Linked DNA regions of Mus musculus: regions 2, 3 and 4 are each reported to be linked to region 1. The links are microRNA targets in miRTarBase. Many come from high-throughput screens and were not tested one by one. Region 1 holds a microRNA gene; each other region holds the end of a gene's coding sequence. Distances are between the middles of the regions.
What was found. Region 1 holds the annotated microRNA mmu-miR-34b-5p (AGGCAGUGUAAUUAGCUGAUUGU, at 2,330-2,352, opposite strand). A microRNA usually pairs through its seed, bases 2 to 8, with sites in the 3' UTR of a target mRNA and lowers its output. Matches are read on the target gene's strand: a 7mer-m8 pairs with bases 2 to 8, a 7mer-A1 pairs with bases 2 to 7 and ends in A, and an 8mer does both.

Region 1 (4,232 bases):
CAATTTTATGTAAATGCTTTCCTAATCTAAGCACCATTTCCTTAGATTAACCCATCCTCTTTGCCAAATAAAAGCCATCATTTAAGGGACTCTTAGAATTTTTTTTTTTTTTTAAGATTTTCATTTTATTTATGTGAGTACACTGTAGCTGTCTTCAGACACACCAGAAGAGGGCATCAGGTCCCATTACAGACGGTTGTGAGCCACCATGTGGTTGCTGGGAATTGAACTCAGGACCTCTGGAAAGCAGTCAGTGCTCTTAACTGCTGAGCCATTTCTCCAGCTCTAGAATGAATTTATATGTAACAATGAGATCCTTTACAGTGGAGAATTGCAGCAGTTTTAGAATTGTTTGTGTATTTGCATATACCTATTACTGCCTGTTTCTGCTTGTTTGTACTTCTCAATTGACTGACAATTAGACCAGGCAGTTTCCCCTTCCAGGAGGTAGCCTTGCTACTCACCTCTCAGAACGACTTTAGAGTTCCGCGCCACCGGTAGCCTCTGACTGCTGCCTCGGGTCAGCACGAGCTGAGATTCGGTAGTGGGGTACATGGACGCCCCGAGCCAAAACTGCTTAGCCAAATTGGCATCCTGCTCAGAGCAGCCGGTGAACACCAGTAATCCAGGGGAGCAGATTTCCTGGGATTCCTTCCTGCCGCTAGGACAGCCTCTGGGCCCCGTTTCCATGGTGACTCAGGACGCTTTCCTTAGCTCTGGCGTCCCGCCCCTACCGGAGAACCGTCCTGTTGGTAACTGCCACCACCGGAATGCCTGTGTTTCTTCTTCCGTAGATCTGGGGTTCCTCGAGGGCTTGTGGCCCATCAGCAGCTGGCTTCTGTCGAGGTCACAATTTTCGGGGCCAGTCAAGCCTTAAGAGTAAAAGCCTCAACTTTGTGATGTGTACAGTCCTGGACTGTCTCTTAGATCCTCAGCCAGCGTCTCCTCCTCCCCCAGATAGCCCAATAATGTGAGCTTTAAAGAGCGCCTTCCTCTTTTGGACAAGATTGCCAAGGCTTCGCACTCTTACCTCTGGGGAAATTCTCAGGTTTGCATTGATACATCTGCATAAAGCGCTAATCTAGAACTGGGCCGAGAAGTACCGGTGGATACAGCTTGTGTGATTTAAAACCTCTCAAATCTTTTATTACAGATATTAGGAAACCAGCTGGTTTTAAATCGTGTTCACTAATTATTCCCACGAAAAGTTGCCTAGAACGCAACTGTTAATACCTTAAAAAATATACCTGGTTAAGTGGGCTGAGTTCCCTTGCCCCATGGAAAATTATGAAAACATTTAACGTTCCCTTCCAGGTCACAATCATGTGTGAGACGTTTCCCTGGAGATTTTGTCTGTATAGCAACTAACCATTTAATGACTTTACGGGGTTGACAGGAGCTGAAATGGAGATCCTAAAGCCAGTTTTTGGAAAGGAAATGAACACGATTGCTGAGATTTTCGTGGCGCTTTATTTTTTAGAGTGTTATTAATATGTCAGGCAAAGTCCAAAGATTTATAATCACAAGTCAATATAATGACCAAATCAGCTAAGGGATAATTTCTATTTTTCCAATATATCTAAAAATCACAAAAAATGTACCCCACACAAATTGATACATTGTATACTTAGCAGCTAAGGGCTAGCGGTTCCCCCCCCCCCCCCAAACCACTAATAGTATGGTAAGAATATTTCCCTATGGCTCTGTCCTCACCAAAATGACGATTCACAGGAGGCTCAGTCGGAGGAATTTCAGTCTTTTTACCTGGCTGTGTGGTTAGTGATTGGTACTATTAGCAATCAGCTAACTACACTGCCTAGTAACTAGACTCAGAAAAAAGCATGCAGTCTTTAGCTGGTGCTCTCAGACTTTGGTGTGACCAGAGCAAATCGTCAGCCAAGCTGTGGTTGACTCTAGTCGCTGCCTTGGTGATAGCTTTCTCAGAAGTGGAAATCAGGCAGTGAATCACAGCAGCAGCAGGAACTGTTCTGGGGGGGGGGGGGGGGGGGCTCTTCCTGGCCTTTTTTTTTTTTTTTTTTTTTATGTTAAGGCCGGTGTATACCGATTCTCTTTACACATCACTGAACCGTTTTTGCTCTGGCTCTTACACACAGGTAGCCGAACGGTCCCTAAAGGAGGCCGCCGGTCTCCGAGGGTTACTTGCACTTAGACCTCGTGCTCCCGGCCCTTTGCTGACGCATCCTGGCTCCGGCCTCGGCTTTCTGCGGAGTCAGTGGGGCTGCAGCGCTGGCTTCTCCTCCCGCGGGCGGCGGGTGATGCTGTGCCTTGTTTTGATGGCAGTGGAGTTAGTGATTGTCAGCACCGCACTACAATCAGCTAATTACACTGCCTACAAACCGAGCACCGGGCGCCCGCCACTGCAGCTCCCGAGGGTCGGGCCCCTCGCCCCCTTTCGCCACGGTCGACAGGCGAGGGCGGCGGAGCGAGAGGTGCCTCAGGCTCCCGAGGCCCCTCCACACCCAGCAGGGCCGCGCGCGACCCCAGGTGAACCCCCAGGCGCTGAGGCCCCCTGTCCCCGCCGTCCCCCCCGAGACCCCCGACTCAGCCCGGACCCCAGGGCATCCGGCCCGAGTCCTTCTTCCCGCAAGCCGGGTCTGACCCGCCTCCAACAACTTCTTCACGGCTTCCAGACCCAAGTCTAGAGCCGGTTCTGTCCAGCCCGCGCGCCCCGCAGCTCCTACTGGCCGAGTGACCGTGGCTCAGCGACCAACCGCCCTTGGAACCCCGAGGCCGAGGGGGCGGGGCGAGTGGGGGAGGGGTGGCAGAAGCTACCAGAAGGGGCAATGGGAGGGCTCCTGCAGAGCCTCCTGGGAAGGGGCCGGGGAGATGGAGAGACAGATTCTTGAGAAGTTTATCTTCACAGTGTAGTTACTGCTACATCGAAGAAAGAAGCGCAGAGACCTACATCCATCTCTCCTTCCCAATATATTGCCCAAGAAGCCCCAGGCCTCCTCACTGTTCATATGCCCATTCTCAGAAACCGCTTCCCAGGCGTCTCATCTGGAGCCTTCCTGCCTGAGCAGGCCTGGGCACTCATACCTGCAGGATTGCCCTTGCCTGTACCCAAGTTCTTTCTTAGGACTACCTCTTACAGGGCCATACAGTGAAGTGTGGGCCACTCTTCTGGTCAAACATTGAACCAACACCCTTGTTGGTAGGTCAAAGTTGTGGCCCTTATAAGATCAAAGACACAGTTTTGATGATCTCCCCGTGAGCCTTGAGGATATCTAGTCTCACTTTGGGCTCCTGTTTTATTTAAATGTTACAAATCCAGCACCTAACAGGCGTTTGTCTTACTACCCATCAGACAGTCTAGGTGGTAACAAAATGTGAACACATTATTTATTACTCCAGACAGTATAAAGTTGCTAAACTGATAGATTTTCCTAATAGAAAAAAACAGGTATGGGTGGGGGTGGGAGGTGTGCCAACAAGAGCTGACAGACACCATCATGGAGGAGGTGAGAGTTCAGGTAGATCCTTGAAGCAAGGGTAGATTTGGACATTAAGGATGAGGTCTGTAGAAGCCCGAGAAGCCATATCTTCTGTCAGTTACATTCCCCTTGTTTTTGCTATTTTATATCTGATAACGGGGTGCGTGTTTGTGTATATTGGGAATAGGAGGCGCTGAGGGGACAGCATTTCTGCGCCATCTTCACTAATATTTCTTTCCTTTAGTCTTTCCTCTCCTTTCCTTTAATTAATTGAGCCCAGAGAGGATATACAGTATTCTCTGATTGCAAACTTTGTGGAATTCAGTAGGAAGTAGCCGTCCCAGACTGTGGTCTTCCTGTATGCTGTATGACACCCATTTGTATTGATCCAACAGTCTTGCAGTCTACAAAGGGACATTTCTTAGCTATACACTGATACCTGTAAGCCCAGCAAATGGTCTTGTAGATGCCACTAATTACATGAATATATGCCAATCATCAGGAACATTCAACACAAATTCCAAGTGGAAACCATTAAAACCCAAGAACTTCCCAAGAATAAACTTGTGTATATTTTAACATTATCTTTGAAAGTAAAAGACAATGTTTTTTTCCTTCAGAGTCATTGTTTTATGAAGGCTTAAGTGAAAGGAAAATGAAGTAGAAAATGCCAGATTATTATAAAATTAACTTATGAAAGACATTTGTAAATAACTATCTTGTATTCAGTCTTCTTGTATTTGAGAAAAGTATAATGTATCCTACAAAAGGTCATTT
Region 2 (4,232 bases), 58 Mb from region 1:
CTCACCTGGGAAGACTCTCTAACCTGGGTATCCAATGGAGGAGGGAGCAGTGCAGACGCAAGGAAGATCTTCAGAGATTCTCTGCACCGCGGGCTCCAGGAGATCTCAGCGGCCCCTCTCCCCTCCTTCAAGATCTCTCAAGTCTTCTTAAAGGGCTCCCTCCCCTTACCAGGCGGCACGCGCCTTGGAGGGCGGAGCCTTGATGCTTGGCACCTCCCTTTGGGAGGGCACAAGGGCCGGCAGCGACAAATGTGAACAGTACCCTGCCGACTCAGGCCGCGGCTGGTCCACCGCCTGGCTAGAGCCTGTCTTGCAGCGGTTTCTCTCCCAGTCCCAACGCGCCCAGCTGGCACACCTCCCGTGCCAGGACTCCTCGGTAAGCAGCAACTTCCCTGCAGCGCCCTTATTAGCACTCCAGGGACGTTCAGTACAACCCTCAAGAGCTGGGGTCGCGCCAGAGCCCGCCCCCATCCCTCGCTGTTGATGGATAACCTCCTTCGGAAAATCGGCAAGGCGGTAAACTAAGGCTCCGCAGACGGGAAATGCCTGTCGGGGACTTGGAGGTTCCCTTCCTGAATTGACCCAGGCCGGGAGTCACAGAACTACTAGCGCTTCGCGGGCACGCGGAATTTGGGCAGCGCCCTGCAACTCACCGGACCCATCGGGAAGTCCCATGGCCCTCAGAGGGTAACTCGTGTACCGCTTTTCAAACAGCTCCCCCAGGAGGCCACTACCGGCTAGAAGGTGGCGCCAGGCCCAGAACTTGGCCGGCCGCAAGCTCCACCGCTAGGATGTGCAAGATCAGACCAATCAGAATTCTGGGGGTGGAATCCAAGTCATACTCTCTGGGCGGGGCGAGCCCGGAGAATAAAATTTTAACCCTTTCCTTCCCGTCGGCCTAGCTTCTGTCCCTGCCTGCGATTCTTGTTAACCTGCTGGGAGCTGGAGCATTCTGCTGAGACTGGAGGACTGGAACGAAGGCCCAGCGCTACGCTTGGCCAATGTTATGCCTCTGTGCCCTTAAGTGGCTGGACCTAATTGTATGCTTTGTAGAAGGTCCCCACTTTATGCAGAGGAGACATTCTTGACCGATCTGGATGCCTAGGTGTGCAACCAGGGGCCCCAGCCTCAACTGTGGGAGATCTAGGCCTGTAGGGTCTCTCAGGGACCACCAAGCTGTGAGTATCACCCTCAGATTTTTCCTTCTGAGACCTGGCACAGTGGTCCTCAAGACCAGCCCCACCCCACCTCCATTTCTTTTTTTCCAGACAAGTTTTCTCTGTTTAGCCTTGGCTGTCCTGGAACTCTCTGTAGACCAGACTTGTCTACAGAGATCCACCTGCCTCTGCCTAGTGAGTGCTGGGATTAAAGAAGAGATCAAAGGTATTTGTCACCATGGGTGGCTTCTTAAGCCCCCCCCCCCCCTTTCACTTTCACACCTGGCTGCCTAGACTGGAAATGGAGCACTCAGGATCCTTTCCAGGTCTGGAAGCTCTGGCCTGATCCAAGTGAGAAAAGACCAGTAAGGGCCAGAGTGTGGGTGGGTAAGCAGGAACTGAAGTGGGAACGCCTAGGTTTGGGGTGACTAATGGGCAGGGCCACAAATGTCAGCCTCTGGATATTAAGGAAACCCTCATATGACTGCCTAGACCAGGAAAGTGGCTTCTCTTGGCGCAGCTCCTGCGCTCCAACTTCAGGCTCCAGTCACAAGGTGAGAGGCCATATTTCAGAAAGAAATGGGAACCTGGTCCAAATCTCCCATGAAATGGGCTAAAAATAACTGGCTATTTTGGAGGGAGGAGAGCTCAGAGTCCTACAAAGGTCATCCTGGGTGAGTATTCTCAACAGCTGAGACAGAAAGAGGAACAAGTGTTTTCTATAGAAGTTTATTCCCAAAACAGAGCGCGGCTTCACGGAACAATTTACACAGACAGGAAAGAGGGCCACTGTTGGAAGGGGACCCCAGAGACGGGCATCTACAGAACCTAGGACATAGCAAGGACACTCTCCCAACCGACAGGCCTCTCAGCCCTTCAAGGGCAGGGGTCAGTCTGGGTAAAGAGAGCTGGGGACCTGGCTGGTGGGATTTGGCACAGGCAGTGAAGTGGGATTTTTTTGAATCTCAGAAACTGCCTCCCAAGAGTAAACACAGGGTAGGGGTGGGTGGCGGCTGCACAGAACCCCGGTCCTGAGCCACTTTCGGGGCAAGCTGTTAGAAGACTCAGCTGACCTTTGACCTGGGAAAAGTTGGGATTAGAAGCCTACCTCAAGATGGCCAGGTCCAGGGGCATCGCAGGTGGGTCTTTTAGGCCCCTCCCCCACTTTTTCTACCTTTCACTTGTAAACAAAGAGGGGGAAACATTCTGAACTATAAAACAAAGTGTGTAAGTTCAATGGTTGAAGCTGTAAACAATAAATAAAACCCAACCATGTTAAAAAAATAATCTTGATCTGTAAACAAAGTAACAAAAATGTAAAGTCCCCAGCACTGGACATCAGACAACTAACAAGAGAGTTTTGTGAGCAGGATCCTAACAGTTACCTGTCCCTTTATAAGGGACCAACAGAAGGTGGGGCAGCCACTGCTGCAGCCTGGTGCCAGGGAGGATCCTGTAAGCAGTGAGAGGCGGTGGCACCTACCTACATTCTGGGTCTTGGGTTCCCTTGTTTCTGCTCCCTTTGCTCACTGCCCCCCTCATCCCTCAAGGGGACAGTGTAATGAACCAATGGCACCACAGACAAGTGAAGGAGGGACAAAGGAGTTTCCCCTCCACCCACCCCCCTAGGAATGTCTGATTAGAGGCCCAAGTCCCTCCCTAAGGGAGAAAGGGAAGCCTTGATCTGTAAACATGACTTCTGCTGCTCCACCAGCACCTGCAGCATCAGTCCTAGGTCTTAAGGCAGTAAGCGGCAGGGACTCCATGTAATACATATCCACACCCACAGGGAGGAGTGGAGCACGTGAGCCCTCAGGAGGAGGATGGAGGAACCCCTGTTTCCAAGACCAATCCCCCCCCCCAACAGGAGTTTGGCCTAGGGGCATCGGAGAAAATGCAAAGATCAAATTTGCACCCTGGGCCCCAACAACAACGTTCAGATCAATGTGGGGAAGAGAAGGGGAAAGAGCAGGTGGGGCCTGACTCATTCACTCTGCTGTAAGATGAAATGAAAGAGCAGACGCTTAGCTAAGCGCCCAGTGGAGTGTCTCTCTCCCATCCCCTTCCCCCTCCTAGCCCAGTCTCGAGACCCCTGGGAGACAGAAAAGCTGAAAAATAACATAAGCATATCTCTCTGGTTACAAAGGTACAAAAATGTATAAAAGTCCTCCCTCAGCCCCCACCCCTGCACCTGTCACACACATGCTCACAGACGCACACAGGAGGGACCTTCCTTCTGCACTGAACTGAGGGGAGGGCTTGAAGAAGGCTGCCTTGCGATCAGTCCTGAAGGCTCTTCAGTCAGCCCAAATCCTCTGCAACCCCTGGTGGCTCCTCATTCGCTGGTCAGCCCCTCAGGAGTGACCCTCGCTTCTGGGAACTCTGTGGAGTTGAATGTAGAAGTGGAAAGCCATGGTTCAGAGGAGGGACCTTGCCTCTCAGCCCTCAGCACCTTCATGCCTACCCCAGGACTCTGAGCCCTCCCTCCACACACCCATCAGGACCCTAGACTCATTAGCAAGGCTACTTGGCTGCCTCAGTCTCTCAGTGCTCAGCAGGACACTGTCTATGTTCAGATACTAAATTCAGCATCCAGTAAGGCAGATAATGTGACAAATCTCCACATCTCAAGGAGTTCATTTCTCTAAACTCCCTCAACAGAGGAGATGAGTGTACAGCTTGTACTGTGCCAAGGTCATGGCAGAGGAGAGACAGAACTCAAACTCAAACTCTTGTGATTCTAAGGCCTGAATCCTTCCTCAGTTGCCTGGCACTCAAACCCCAAGGCTTGACAGACTGTAGGGGACTGTCTCCTAATTACCTTTCAGCAGCCCTCAGGACCTCCAGGCTCCCAAGGCCCTGCCCCTCCCTCCTTTATGGCCTCTCTCAACGCTGGGGTCTTTGCTCGATCCTCTGGGTCCCCTTGCCCCATCCCCAGAGACCCATTTTCCTTACAGCTGTCTCTCATCCTGAAGAGAGCCCAGAACTTGTCCTGGCAGTTTCAGAGAGAGAGAGAGAGAGAGAGAGAGAGAGAGAGAGAAGAAGAAGAAGAAGAAGAAGGAGGAGGAGAGGAAG
Region 3 (4,232 bases), not on the chromosome of region 1:
CACTGATGCTCATTAATCAGTGGATGTGGTTTTCAAAATTTTATTGATGGTGCAATTAAAATGTGTGAATTTTACTATATGTAAATTTTTATCTCAGTGAAATCATTCTGAAAAGCTACCAAGCATCTCAGAAATTTGATGTTTTGGTTTTTGAAAGCATAAGGTATCACATCTTATGCCATCTAGAAAGCATATACAGGTTCAACACTTGGTGCACACGTTAGGTACTGAGGGCTACCGATGTATGTATGCACACATTAGGTACTGAGGGCTACCAATGTATGTATGCACACATTAGGTACTGAGGGCTACCGATGTATGTATGCACACATTAGGTACTGAGGGCTACCGATGTATGTATGCACACATTAGGTACTGAGGGCTACCGATGTATGTATGCACACATTAGGTACTGAGGACTTACTGGCAAGCAACAAGCCAGGATTTCCTGTGTTACTTTAAAAGATGCTTCACATAAAAACCAGCCTGGTCTACAAAGTGAGCTCCAGGACAGCCAGGGCTATACAGAGAAACCCTGTCTGGAAAAAACAAAGCAAACAAACAAACAAACAAACAAACAAAACCCCAAAACCTGGCTTGGGCCTCTGAGAGCTGCAGAGGATGACCTTGCCTCTGCCTTTAGGGAGTGGTTTTCAGAAAAATTCTTACATGCTTGCTGTACCCCTAGATTCCACTGGATGGAGACAGAACACACACATCCTCAGGAAACACAAGCCCTCCCACTTCTAACTCTGGACCCCTCTGAAATTGACAGGAGGCAGGTCACAGCTCAAGGAGGGATGGCTTTCCCTTTGACTTGTCCTGGGTGCCTGGAGTACCCCAGGTCAGCAGGCAACTCCAAAAACAACAACAACACATCTTTGACCTGTACCAGAAATACACAAATTTTAAAGTGAGTAAATAAATAATGTTCCTAAAATACTTTTAAAGTGGCTGGGGATAAGCCTATAATCAAAGCTATTCAAAGGACCAAGGCAAAAAGAGTCACAAGTTTTAAGTTGGCCTGGGCCATAGAGTAACTTCAAGGCCACCGTGGACAATGTAGACCTAGCCTACAACTAAACAAAAAGGGGAGGGTTTGGGGTCACAGGTCAGTGGTAAAGTACCTGTGTGACCTCAAGATTTTAGGTAATGATCCTAAGAAGCCCGTGTGTACTTTCTGTACCACCAAGAGCTCAAGAGGTCTGTCCTTTGCCAACTGCTTGACATATTGTCTAGATTAATCACAAGCCAGCCTGTAGCCTCATCTTCTCACCTGTAAGCTGTTGTGCTGCATGAGACATTATCAGTTATTAGTAGGCGAGATCTGCGTCTCAAATGAAGTCCCTCGGCAGCCCCACTGTATAAAGGACTGCAGAGGCTCGTGGACACAGGCACAGAATGCCTGCTCAGGGTCCACACCATCACAGCCAGCTGTTCTGAGGATGCTGGCTGCTCCCAAAATGGCTTTAACTACTACTCCAACCAAACTCTCAACCCAAGGAGCTGAGCTCTGACTTCATGGAAACTCCAAGACTCTGAAGACTCAGCATAACCTCTATGATGTCAGAATGACCACGCCTACCTCTAACCTGACATCACCTGATTCAGGAATTCTATATGGCATGAATGCAATACTCACCGCAGCCAGAGCCCACATCCCTTCTCCATGAGCTATGCTATGTCCCTACCCACCTAAGGAAACTCTTAGTCATGTGCTTGCCCCAGTCCTGTCTTCCCTGAGAATTCAGCAATGAAGAATTCCACATTTCAGTGACCCAGCATGAGAAAAGGGAAACCCACCTCTAACCTTTGGTGATCTCAGCCCCCTTTCCTAAGGATCTCTGACACACGGGAAATGTCACCCTCTTGTAAGTCACTACCCAGAGATTGCTGTGATGATACATCTGGCCCAAGACCATGCACCTCACATGGGTCACACCCAATTCCAGACCTAGATGTCATGTACACATTATGTAGCTGAGAGAAACTGAAGCTCAATCACTAAGCATAGCTGGGACTTCACCTAGAGGTAGTGCTCACGGTGGGGACTGTCTGGACCATCCTACAGGACAGATGGTAGCAAGGATGTTCTCAGTGGCTTCTGAGCTAGTACTTGGGGTTAGGACACAGAATGTTCTACACGGATTTCCTTACAATAAGGCTGAGGACGTGGCTTGTGTGCACAAAGGCCCTAGCATCATAAAACAACAAAACAAACAAAAAACAGTTCAAAGCATAGAACCTAACACATAGTAACTCCAAGACTGGCCCCAGCTGGAGTCAATGTTCCATGCCTGTAATCCCAACAGCATTGAGGAAGGTCAAGAGTGTTTGAAGCTAGCCAAAGGCTATACAGCAAGACCCTGGACCACACAGCAAGACCCTGTCACAAAAACAAATGAGCCCCAAAGATGTAAATTTCATTCCAAAACCAGAGACAGCCATTTTATAGAAAATAGGATTTATTTATCACATTTGAGATGAACACACAGGACTGTCCCAGAAATCTTTTACATATATATTATTGATAGATTGGATTTATTCAACATACAGAAAAAGCAAAGCCTGCCAGAAGACACTTCCCTCTTGAGAACAGCATGAGGTCAGGCAGTGTCTGTAAGTTTTCACCACGGGAATTCACATTGAGCAGAAAGACCGGGCTCACAGGTCTGTTCCCAGGTCCTGCTGCTTCTATTTCACAGGCTTTCAAAAATCACAGCAGCAGCCAGCAGGATTCACAGTGACCAGGAGGGAAGGCATTGACGCTGGGACTTTCACAAGAGCCCTGAGTGATGTCTCAGAAGCCAGGCTGGGAGGTGGGGGGGTTGGGGGTGTCTGTGGCTTGTGCCAACTCAGGTCACACATGGACAGTGCCGTGAGTGTCACAGCAACACAGGTCACACACGGACAGTGCCATGAGTGTCACAGCTTTGTTTCGATGAGATCTTGAATTCTATGTTAAATTATTGCAAGGAGGAAGACAACATTAAATAGCAACTGCTATCCCCACTGATCAAGGAAAAGAGTCAGGAGCCTTCCCTGACTAACTGGTCAGCATTGCCAATGTCCAAGGCACACGCACATGGCAATCACGGGGACATCGGCTGAGGGTACATGGCCCGATGGCCATACTGATGCCCAGAAACGGGATCTGAGGCAGGATGGACAGTGGAGAGCAGCCTGGTCTGGGAGGACCATGCCTGAGTGGCCTTCCTCAGACTCAATAGAAGTGGGTGCAAACTGTTCTTTGGAGAACCTGGGTGAATCAAGACATGGATGCCTGCTGCTGTCCTAGCACCTTGGCTGTGAGTTAGCTCAACTGGCCACAGTCTGTGATGACAATCTTCTTAGACGTCTTCCCACTTTTTGAGCCGAAAGATTCTATTTTCTTCACAACATCCATGCCCTCTTTGACATGGCCGAACACGACATGCTTGCCATCTAGCCTGTGGGGAGGGTTGAGCCAAGTAAGAAAACACCCAGCATCCTGGCCACTCGGCAGAGTTGTTTGCCAAAGGAACACCACTACCCTGAAAGCCTAGTTACCGCTTGTGAGCTCTTCAGCTGCATTCCACTGGATTCCAGGCTCCCAGTTCTGTCACCCTGGGCTTTGTCCGGCAGCCTGATCTGACTTTTGGTGACCTTACTTATGAGAAGTAGGTTGTTCTCATTCTGCCCAGGAAAATGATGGGCATTGCAGCACTCAAAAAAGCAAGACATCTGCACAACAGACTATGGCAAACTGAGCACCAAATAAGTGTGAGAAGCCTGGAGGTGTTGAGTAGCTCATGATCTGTGAGTTCCAAGAACAGAACAGGGACTTAGCTCAGCTCCAGCACAGCTGAGAATAAGGACAGCCTGGGGCAGAGCTTTAAGGCCCATCAAGGCTTCCATGGAAGGAGCAAAGAAGATGGGGCTGGCACCAACATGCCCGACCCTGACAGCCCTGTGTGGCTGTCATCCCATCGCTTAGATTTCCTTAAAGTTGTGAACACAGGTTTTCTAAACTTCTCAGTCAGCTGTTGCCTCTGACCTCCTGGGACCTGAGGCCTGGGATACTCAGAACTCTATGCAGAGAAAGGTGTTGCTTGGTGGAAGTTTTACCAGGGAAAAGGCATTCTTAGACAGCATAGGACTGTGGGAAAGGAAGCTGGGAGGTCTGGGAGCCATGTGCGGCCATGCTAACAGTGTGTGAGGAAACTATTCCTCACAACCCATGATTCCATAAG
Region 4 (4,232 bases), not on the chromosome of region 1:
TCTGTATTTGGCTATGCTGACTGAACAGGGCCCGTGTAGTCACGTCAGAGCCAACGGAGTCACCGTGGGGTGGAATGGAATGAGGGGATACGCTCTAAAATCTTGTGGTTAGGCATTTCATCTTGTCCCCTGTGAGGCATGTGAACCGAGGCCAACACCAACCCCCTGATATGCCACAGTGTACTGAGTCATTCCGAGTGGCTCCAGAGCCCTGAGTATATGACTGGACGCCGCCGCCCCCACCCCCTCCACCCCTTGGAGCAGAGGGACTCTGAGAGGGGAACAGAGCCAGACGGGATCTTGCCATCTGATAACCCATGTGCCTCACTGCCCACAGGCTTCCTCATCTTCCTGTGGTACTGGTCCATGCGGTTCCAGGCCCAAGGCGGCCCCTCCCCTCTGAAGAACAACTCAGACAGCGCCAAACTCCCCATCAGCTCCGGCAGCACCTCCTCCAGCCGCATCTAAGCCACCGCCACACCTCCCCTCCGGGAGGACACATGCATGGCGTCCGCTCACGATGTCTGTGGCCCAGTGCTGTGCCCACCCAGCCTTTGTTGGTTAGTGGCATACTAGAGAAGGCCCTGGTCCTTGAAGGCGTAGGGCTGTTGCTCTGGTAGGTAGATACCTAGCTTGCCTTGGGGACGACTCTGGTCCTCAAAGGGCTCAGAAGCACACTGCCATTCTGTTTGTGGGGCCGTTTCAGTCTGGAGCTAAGGCCTTGTCTTTCTGGCCACCTCTGGGTCCAGCTGTTGCTGCTGGGTGTTGAGACCTGCAGACCCAAGCTGGGGTTAGATCTCGAAGGAGGCTGACACATCCGGCCTGAGACACAGCTAACTGTCTTGACTTGCTGCTCTGTCTCTGTGGTCACCATGCAGATCCCGAGGGTGGCACTGGGGGTAAATGTTCTGGGAGAAGGTTTGGAGGCAGAGCACCTTAGGAGCTGAGCATCTCCCCCAGCCTTTCTGCAAACCCTCCTCTTCATTCCCCATCCCCAACCCCTCCTCTGTGTTCCCCTAACCCTCCACCTGAAGCCTGGGGTCCTAGACCAATGCTGTGATTTGGGGTGGTAGTTCCCAGCAGTTTCCTGGTGCCAGCTATCAACTTCTGTCTGTTGTGTGGGCTTTGGCCTCTGACTCAGGGCAGGTTTCTGTCTGAGCCCTCTCTCCAAGCTGCCTCACCTTTGCTCGCACCTCAGAGGGACCTCCATCTCTCCTGAAGCCTCCTCCCTCTGGCAAGTACTGGGATACAGCCACCCTTTCAACCCAGCACTCTGAAGACCAAGACAGCCCCCTCTGGTGACACTGGCCAAGCTTGATCTTTTTCCTAAGAAGTGGTCTTCAGATCCCTGCAGGTCGCTCAGAAGACACTGGGCTGCCTAGTGTGAATTCTGTCCTACTAACGTACAGTGAGCAGCTCCTCACCCCCACCCCCGCAAAAGCTCTCACCAAGTCCTGGAGTGTCAGGCAGGGGGCTGGAAATCCAGGAGGACTTCCTGCAAAAGGCAGCATTTCATCTTGACCTCAGCCTTCAGGTTGGGGAGAATGTTCTTTTTAAATACCAGTTCATTTGTCTTTTGATATTAAAGCTCTTTATAGAGAGTCTGGAAACTGTAGGCGATTGTCGAGAAGAGAAATAAAAATGAGCTGTTATCTAATGCCATGGCAAAGCAGCACAGTTTGGAGAGTTGCCCGTCTCAGTTTTGTTTGGGTTTGTCTTTGTTTTTTTGTTTTTTTTTCCTCCCACTTCTGTTACTAGTGTTGCTGATTCAGGAGTCTTGGGGATGATCAGGAAATGGCCAAGAGGGAAATGTGACAAAGAAGGCATCTGAGGACACTTTCTCAGGAGAACAAGAGAAATGGCCCACTGGTACCTCCTCGGGTGGTGCCGGGCAGAGGCCCGTCAAGAATAACCCGGAGATCCTGACCATCTGCTGCAGATGGCCATTGCTGGCGTGGAGGGAGACCTGGGTAGCCACATCAGTTGCCTTTCATGGGGAAACCAGACTGGTTCATCAAAGCCATTGATCTTACAATGTTGGCATATACAAAACCTTCCGTAGCCAAAGAGGTCACTCTTGAGAGCTGAGTTCAGATTTTAACTAGTCAGGTGATCCAAGGAACAGTTTGGCCATCAGTCTGGAGCAGCTGGGCTGTGAGAAATGACTCAGGTTTTCTCCCAGCGTCTAGCCTGCTCCTCAAGTCCCTTCTCCCACTTATGTGGCACAGGTTAGACATGTCCCAGGTGTCTGTCTCCCTTGGGTTATATGTGATTGTCCCCATCTGAGTTCAAGTACAAAGAGGTATAAAAAGCAGGGTGTGGTGGTACCTGCAGTCCCAGCACTTGAGATGCTGAGGCAGGAGATTGAGAGTTCAAGACCAGCCTGGGCTGTATAGTGAGCCTCTCAAGGAGTGAGGAGAGGAAGCTAAGTCCCCTTTATTCGAAGTCTGAGATTCGCCCAGGTCCACAGCCCCACCCCAGCTCCCACCCTCAGCCCCTGCTGTGCCAGGGGAAGGTGGGGGTACTCTGGGGCTTGACAGGGTGAGTGGAACACTGCCTTGGCAGTTCTAGGTATACCAGCAGTTCCCACAGCATGGCACAGATGTGACAGATTTGAGACCTGTCTGGACTTTGGCCCGTGGAAGCCCCATGTCTCTCTCCATCTTCCTCCACAACTCTGGTGGCCTCTGCTTTTACTTTGGAGTTCTTTTGTTTGTGTGCTTGATTGCTTTTTTTTTTTTTTTTGGAAGGGGGGGGCAGGGTTTCTCTGTATCCCTGCCTGTCTGGAACTCACTGTATAGACCAGGCTGGTCTCTACCTACCTACCTACCTCTGCCTTTTAATTGCTGGGATTAAAGGCATGGACCACCATGCCCACCTTACTTTGGAGTCCTTATGTTCCTCCCCCTGCGGAAAGAACCAGACTTTCCCGAGCCCCTCTGCTGCGTGTCCTGGCCTGACATCCCCCCTCCTCTCACAGGAAGAAAGCCTCCACCCCAATTTCTTCTTTCCTAACCTCTGGTTCTGAGGCTGGCTCAGAGAAGGAGATGGGACCCCTGATATCTCTGAGTCTTCTTTGGCCCGAGTAGTTCTTTCTAGGCTGAGGATCGGTAGACAACACACTTACCTTCCCATTAAGGCAAGCAAGAGAGTCTCTAAAGACACGTTTCTGATCTGGATACAGTCAGGTGATACCGGCTGGCCTGGCAAAGGGCTTGAGACCTTGGAATAAGCTGCGGTGACAGGAGATAGGATGGGACATGACTGTTATGTTAGTCCTGAAATGTGGGGGCCCAGGGCTCTGCAAAGGATCTCAGGCTAGTACCTAGCTAGTCTCACTGGGTCCTTCTAGAAGCTCTGCAGGGCCTGGCTCTCCCACCTCTCTACCTCCCAGGGACACTGGGCACTATGCTTCTGCCTGCAGGTCACCAACCTTTTTTTTTTCTCTCTCATGTATCCATGAGACCCATGGAGCCATATGAGACACAACCCAGCATATCAGGAACCACCGTGTCACGACATCCTTGCCTGAGGTTGGGAGAGACGCCACAAGCAATTAGGGGAGGCTGACTCAGGGCAGAGCAGGCCCAGTGGCTCCCATCTTCCTGTCAGAGGAAGCTCAGGGACACAGGAACTTCTGGATTCTGACCTGGGACTCCAGGCTCTATCCGTCCCCACCCCCACCTTCTACAGAGCAAGAGTGACCTGTATCCCTTCCCACACCCCCTCAGATCCAAAGGGCCCAGCAGGGGACCATGTGAAAGGAAGGAGAGACAGATGATGGTTATAACTGGACAGCTCCCCAGAAAGAGCAGAGCTAGCTCAGTCCTAAGGGGGTGTCGGTAACAGGTGACGGTATTGAGGCTCTTTTACCCATCTGAGTAGCTGTGGACAACCAAGGGCCTGGCCTTCTCCATGACTTTCTTGGGGTCAGCCGACTGGTAGGCTCCACCTCTTCCCCAGGCATGTGCATGTGTGTATGTGTGTTTGTGTGTATATGTGTGTATGCGTGTGTGTATGTGTATATGTGTGGTTGTGTGTATGTGTGTTTGGGTGTATGTGTGTTTGTGTGTATATATGTGTGTTTGTGTGTATGTGTGTGTGTATGTGTGTTTGTGTGTATGTGTGTTTGTGTGTATGTGTATATGTGTGTTTGTGTGCATGTGTGTATGAGCCTATATGATTCCCCATCCTCCTGCCTGGACCAGCAGTGACCAGCCTGGAGAGGATGA

Region 2: the mRNA of Celsr3 is a reported target of mmu-miR-34b-5p. Seed matches in the 3' UTR shown: 7mer-m8 at 2,096-2,102.
Region 3: miRTarBase lists Ppif as a target of mmu-miR-34b-5p. Seed matches in the 3' UTR shown: 7mer-m8 at 2,610-2,616.
Region 4: miRTarBase lists Adgrg1 as a target of mmu-miR-34b-5p. Seed matches in the 3' UTR shown: 8mer at 676-683.

What each region holds. Positions count from the first base shown.
Region 1 is chr9:51,101,281-51,105,512 of GRCm38, forward strand. It overlaps Mir34b (microRNA 34b), which reads right to left and starts at 2,365; the gene lies at 2,282-2,365. It overlaps Hoatz (HOATZ cilia and flagella associated protein), which reads right to left and starts at 798. Exons shown (of 6, transcript NM_177702.4): 1 at 465-798. The coding sequence starts at 690. It overlaps Mir34c (microRNA 34c), which reads right to left and starts at 1,830; the gene lies at 1,754-1,830. It also overlaps a transcript of Btg4 not described here.
Region 2 is chr9:108,850,608-108,854,839 of GRCm38, reverse strand. Celsr3 (cadherin, EGF LAG seven-pass G-type receptor 3) reads right to left here. Exons shown (of 36, transcript NM_001359572.1): 36 at 1,871-3,539. The coding sequence ends at 3,512. Slc26a6 (solute carrier family 26, member 6) reads right to left here and starts at 797. Exons shown (of 20, transcript NM_134420.4): 1 at 6-797.
Region 3 is chr14:25,698,684-25,702,915 of GRCm38, reverse strand. It overlaps Ppif (peptidylprolyl isomerase F (cyclophilin F)), which reads right to left. Exons shown (of 6, transcript NM_134084.1): 6 at 2,448-3,449. The coding sequence ends at 3,314. It overlaps Ppifos (peptidylprolyl isomerase F, opposite strand), which reads left to right and starts at 1,634. Exons shown (of 3, transcript NR_028021.1): 1 at 1,634-1,871.
Region 4 is chr8:95,012,520-95,016,751 of GRCm38, forward strand. It overlaps Adgrg1 (adhesion G protein-coupled receptor G1), which reads left to right. Exons shown (of 14, transcript NM_001198894.1): 14 at 338-1,689. The coding sequence ends at 468. Gm51544 (a long non-coding RNA gene) reads right to left here. Exons shown (of 4, transcript XR_003947440.1): 2 at 3,434-3,528; 3 at 3,128-3,233. Among named protein-coding and RNA genes, the nearest start is that of Adgrg3, 3.1 kb to the right of the region's middle.